2 linked regions of the Ovis aries genome follow. The protein of the gene in region 2 purifies or fractionates together with the protein of the main gene of each other region. This does not show direct contact. Links are inferred from orthologs where the notes say so. Each region holds a gene or a part of one and is shown on either strand. Other genes may lie near its edges.

The links.
Region 1: the proteins of SMAD1 (region 2) and SKI purify together in Homo sapiens (affinity purification with western blotting, with the first as the bait; 3 studies listed by BioGRID). This does not show direct contact. The link is inferred for Ovis aries from reciprocal best matches to the Homo sapiens genes SMAD1 and SKI.

Annotation. Positions count from the first base shown.
Region 1 is NC_056065.1:49,826,641-49,829,062, reverse strand, and holds part of SKI (ski oncogene), read left to right. Parts: intron 1-229; coding exon 230-460; intron 461-886; coding exon 887-1,075; 3' UTR 1,076-2,422. UniProt on the Homo sapiens protein: May play a role in terminal differentiation of skeletal muscle cells but not in the determination of cells to the myogenic lineage. Functions as a repressor of TGF-beta signaling.
Region 2 is NC_056070.1:12,812,361-12,816,015, forward strand, and holds part of SMAD1 (mothers against decapentaplegic homolog 1), read right to left. Parts: intron 1,783-3,655; coding exon 1,561-1,782; intron 1-1,560. UniProt on the Homo sapiens protein: Transcriptional modulator that plays a role in various cellular processes, including embryonic development, cell differentiation, and tissue homeostasis.

The DNA of each region.
Region 1 (2,422 bases), on a different chromosome or scaffold from region 2:
CATGTTTGCAGGGGTGGGGCTGAGTCCCCAGAAGGACCACCTCCTCCCCATCTGGCCGTGGGGCCTCTGGGGCCCTCAGGTGGTGCGGTGCCCGGGTGAGCCCCTCCCTGATACTGCGGATACACCCAGGGGCTGTGGGCAGTGCTCGGAGGGGACAGGGACCTACGGGGCAGGCGGGTGCTGGGGAGGCCTGGCGTGGGGGTGCCCCTGAGCTGGCTCCTCACCTCAGGAGCTGGAGTTTCTGCGCGTGGCCAAGAAGGAGAAGCTGCGGGAGGCCACGGAGGCCAAGCGCAGCCTGCGGAAGGAGATCGAGCGGCTCCGTGCGGAGAACGAGAAGAAGATGAAGGAGGCCAACGAGGCGCGGCTGCGCCTGAAGCGGGAGCTGGAGCAGGCGCGGCAAGCCCGCGTGTGTGACAAGGGCTGCGAGGCTGGCCGCCTGCGGGCCAAGTACTCTGCCCAGGTGCGCAGGGAGCCACGGGAGGCAGAGGTGGCGGGTGCGCCCTTGGCATCTCAGGGTCCCTCCCCTCCTTGCCAGGCCGTCTGTATGTGGGGAGCTGCTCGGCTTCGGGCCCATCCTCCGTGGGGTGATGTGGCCCTAGGCTCTCCTCTCTTGTCCTGGAAGAGGGCTGAGCTCACCCTCACATGCCCATGAATGTCTCAGCTGGTCCCCATGGCCATGCTGAGCAGCAGGCTCCCAGGGATGGGGGTTGGGTGTCGTCCCCTGTCTTAGGGTCTTTGGAGACGGTGCTGGTCCTCCTACTGAGCTCACCAGCAGGTCCAGTGGGTGGCGTGGGAGGCGAGTATGTGATGGCCGGAGGGTCAGCCCGGCGCCAGGCAGCGACAGGGTGGGTGGGGAGCAGCTGGCTAATGCAGGCGTCCCTTTCAGATCGAGGACCTGCAGGTGAAGCTGCAGCACGCAGAGGCCGATCGTGAGCAGCTGCGGGCCGACCTGCTGCGAGAGCGGGAGGCCCGGGAGCACCTGGAGAAGGTGGTGAAGGGGCTGCAGGAGCAGCTGTGGCCGCGGCCCCACTCCGAGGCTGCAGGTGGCGAGAGTACGGCCGAGCTGGAGCCCTAGCCGAACCCACTGTCTGCTGCGCAGGGCGGATGCCACAAGGCGGGCGGGCGGCAGGGTTGGGGCTCCGTGCCAGCAGGACGCCCCCCTCCAGTCCTTATAGCACAACGTCTTACTGTGCCTAGAACCAAGCAAGTGTTTGGAACCACATACTTTTGGAATCCACTGCAAAATTTTCTACTGGCCAAGTTCAAGCGTGCAAGCCGGTTCCCAACTGCCCCAGAGACGAGGCCAGCTCGGTGGTTGTGGCTGGCCCTCTGCTTGCCGGAACGTTCTAACATTTACACTTTTGTTATAAGCTATTTAAAACCAATAAGGAGACTTGATATTCAGAAAAATCAACACGTTTTTTAATGACTAACTTTTAAAAGCCCCACCCACACGTGATGCCCCCCGAGGACCCACATGGGAGCCAGGGTGGCCCCCGTCCTGCCCCTCGAAGCCATCGCAGCTTGTCTGCACCTGCGGCCGCGTGACCACACGAAGGGTTTTTCTCCAGAGTCTATTTTTTCAGCGACAAGGACCTGTCTCCCGCACTGTCGGGGGAGGACCCGGGGAGTGCCGCGTGCACGCGAGCTGGAACACTGCCGCCTTACCCACCTACCGGCCCCCGCCACCCACAGGGTCGTCTGCAGGGGCGTCCGCAGGGGTGCTCAGGCGGGCGGCGGGGGTGGGTCCGCGCTGGCCGGGCATGTGCCCTTCTCCACGCGCCCCTCCGTCCAGCTGGTGCCCCACAGAGGCGTCTGCAGGGGTGCTTGGCGGGGTGGCGGAGGTGGGTCCGCGCTGGCCGGGCACGCGCCCTCCTCCTCACGCCCCTCCATCTGGCCGGCGGCACGCCTTCTGTTTGGGCCGAGGCTGCAGCATTGCAACAAACACAGCATTATTTCAGTTTTTCTTTTTTCCTTTTGTTTGTTCGTTCATTTAAACGTATACTTAGAACTGCACTTTGTCAAAAACCTTCCCCTTCTCTTTTTATTCCCCAGTTAACTGAGGTTTTTACTTTCAGATACTGCAAACCGATTTCTAGAGCATCCACATCCTAAGTGCTCGAGTGTCTAGAAACCCCTCTGGTGCTTGGTTGAACAAGGGAATCACACGAAACGAAAACGCAAAAACTGAACTTCGGGGGGTGGTTCTGTGCCTTCCAGCGTCTTGTACAGCAAACCCTGACTCGTCTTCTTCCCCCAGAATACGTCTCCAGTAGCTGTTGGATCTGCCATGATCACAATGAGTTACCTGCATTTATTCCAAATAATCGCGTTTACTCTCAACTGTATGCGAATTGTATAAGGTTTCTTATGCCCAAGCTTGAAAAATGATTTCCCAGTAGACCAGGTGGCTCCCTGACCT
Region 2 (3,655 bases):
AATGGAAACTTTCCACCAACTCACACTATATATAGCCATCAGCCTTCGCCATTCATTTACTTATCTATTATTGGTATGGACTTACGAATTACTATTGTTCTCCAGTGGTTTAAAACTCATCGCTGTATTTTATTATTTCAGCGTTTCAATTATCCAAGCTGGCAGTGGAAATCACTCCAAGTTGGCTCCTGTGACATGCCTCCATCGTGCGTACATATTTCTTTACTTTCAGCCATAACAAAACATTCTACGCTCATTTTGTGCCCACCTATTCCAGCCTTGAAGTCAGCCCTTTCTCCAAAGTCTGGGTTCCTCTCTAGCAACATGGTGTCAAGAAATGATGATCTGATCACTGTATGTGCTTAGCGCTGCTGGGTATCGTTGCCTCTTGACCCTTTTAGCATATGAATCAAAAACTATATGCATACAGATCAAACCCAATAGATGAATCAGAAACTATATGCATGCAGAAACACATCTATTGGATTGGTCCAAAAGTTTGTTCGGCTTTTTCTGTAACATGGAAAAAAATCCAAACTTTTTGGCCAACCCAATACATAAGCCTTCATTCACACACATATACAGGAGACCAAACATGTTATGCACACACACATATACACACTACTAAAATCATAACTTCACACTAAAACTTTCACAGGGTTTATTTTTTACCCTCCTCCACACCTGTATGCTTCTTATACCACAGTGAAAACCCAGGTTCCCCACAGCATCCACACATTCAGTCATTTGCTTAATTTTATAATATGAATACATCTTAAAGTTTCGTAACTGTTTCCTTCATTCTGCCACTAAATAATCAAGACTACTCTAAAGAGTTCAGGATATGTTTGTTGGCACTCTACCTTACCTGGTCCAGGCCAAGGATATGCAAATACTATGTTAGTTGCTCAGTTGTGTCCGACTCTCTGCGACCCCATGGACTGCAACTCACCAGTCTCTTTTGTCCATGGGATTTCCCAGGCAAGAATACTGGAGAGGGTTGTCATTTCCTACTCCAGGGGATCTTCCCAACCCTGAGATTGAACCCAGGTCTCTTGCATTACTACTATATTCATAAGTTATTTTGAAGTTTTTTTTCCCCAGTAAGTTAATGCATTCCACTTAAAATACATTAGCGTTTACCTGTTTGCGTTTGCTTTTAGTTTTAGGTTGTAAAGAATTTTTAACAGCTATTTCGTTCTGCAGCAAAACGTATGATAGATTAGTATCCCCAAATAGCACATCACAATTTCAACTAATTAAATAACAATTATGAGTCAGTAGACCACAAAAATCACTGACTGGGAAATGAAGAACTTCCTGACGACATAAATTGAAACAGTATTTACAAACTGGAGCTGCTGCTGCTGCTTAGTCTCGTCAGTCGTGTCCGACTCTGTGCGACCTCACAGACGGCAGCCCAACAGGCTCCTCTGTCCCTGGCATTCTGCAACAGGTGTTTATTATCTGGCGTTGGCTCCAGGAAAGACTGCCGGTCAGTTCTGGGGGAAGGAGAACACAACAGACAGACGTTCAAGAGAAGCTCCAGCGAAGGCTCACCTTTTCCGATATGCCGCCTCGTGTTTTCGATGGTGGAATTCCGGTTAACGTTGGAGAGCAGCCCGAGGCAGAAGCGGTTCTTGTTGTTGGAAGGATCGGTGAAACCATCCACCAACACGCTCGTGGAGGAGGCATGGAACGCTTCGCCCACGCGATTGTTGAGCTCATAGTAGACAATAGAGCACCAGTGTTTCGGCTCCTCATAAGCAACCGCCTGAACATCTGCAAGAAAGGAAAGCTTAGAGTCAACCACGGGGAGTGCCCCGGGCGTTCGAAAACTGAAACTGTGGCGTAAAGTTGGCTCAGGGTCGTGGAATGAAGATGTGACATGCCACCACTATTATCAGGTACAGAGTTTACCTCTGATCTTGGAAGCAGCGGCTCCTTGCTAAGCGGGGCATTCACCTTGCGTTGGAAGACAGTTTTCTCTGATGGCTATCGGATCAACAAGACAACTGCTAAGCACGCCAGCAGTATGTGCTGGACACTCCCAGGACACTGCTGGCTCTATAATTTGCCAAAATGGAAATGACCCCACCACTGACCCTGGCTCACCATCTAAAGAAAGGCAACAAGTGGCAAGTGAAAAAAACAAGTGGGGAGAGAACAATAGAGGACAGGAAATATGCCAAAGGTGCTGGCACAAAAAAGGAATGACTCTGGACAATGTCTCAGTACACCGATGCTTTTCCAAAGCAATGAAAAATCAGTTTCTAATTATTGATAAGAAGTTACTTGACTTCATGTTGCCAGTAACTCTCACAGTTACAGCCTTGCTCCAGTCCTCAAACTCAGGAAGAAATCCTGCCAGCTGGCCATTCTTCCTGGATGAATCATATCTCTCTCACCCAGATTTCATGCTAACTTCCTTATATTTGCTTTAAGTCATGCAGAGCAGGTGTGTTTTGTCTCTCCATTCCCAGAATGGGCCAACAATGGAAATTACCCAACTTTACTGACAGGATGCAGCTTGTTAAGTCAAATCTCTTAAGACTAACAAATCTCCAAACAGAACATGCTTCTAAACATTTGCAACTAAAAGGTTCTAAAGATAAGTTCCTTCTGCAGTAAAACCTCTTATAGATTCCAGGAATATAAACCATATATTTCCACTGTGCCAATATGTAATGATCTGAGGTTTTATGAAGCCTGGAGTATACAATCGTTAAAAAAAAAAAAGAAAATCCATGTTGGAAGCATGAACTCTGTTAAAGGAGAATGACCTCTGTGTTCTGAACATCAACCTCCATGAATATTAAAATGCCCCTTACTTTAGAATACGGTAAAGAAATTAAGAAAAACAATCATTAAAAAAAATCCATCCATACATTAGCTGCTTTATACATTTAAGCAGGTGAGTTGAAAACAAACACCATCTTCCATGATTGCTAAGTGTCATCCCATGTCAATCAGCAAGGTTCTTTCAGATTTATAGGTACCAAATCTTAAAGAAGGCTGCAACATCATTAAGAGAAGGCTTTAATCAGCTACCAGGATCATTCAAAGTACTATTCATCTAGCTTGGAGACTGACAAGTTTTTTCTGTAAAAGGCCAGTAAGGTCTTAGAGGCCACACAGTCTCTATGGCCACTATTCAACTGTGCCCTAGCTGTGCAAAAACATCCACAGATAATATGTAATGAATAAACATGGACACGTCCCAATAAAGCTTTATTTATAAAAATAGGCAGCAGGCTGACGTGGCCTGTGGGCTGCAGTGTGCTGACCCCTTGCTCCAGGAAAACCACCAAGGTTCAACAAAGCCGACAGTCCTTAGAAAAACATTAACTGTAAACTTACTTTCTAATGGGGAAGCAATTTCTAGCCATTTAAAGGAAAGATCTGAAAGCCAATTAAAAGTCTGTTTTCTGAAATCAGACACTCTGGGTTTAACAACCATGGCCGCAAGTCCACATGCTCGTAACCGTTTCAGGCTGTGCCTGTTCTCTTCTGTTCCCCAAATACACGTTCCAAAGGTGTGTGAGACAGGAGTTATTTTCTCCAACCAGAATCTTTGTCAGCTCATAATTATATGTTTGAGAGGATGCTTCACAGATTATCAAAATCCAGAGGCAGTAAAAACATAAAACACATA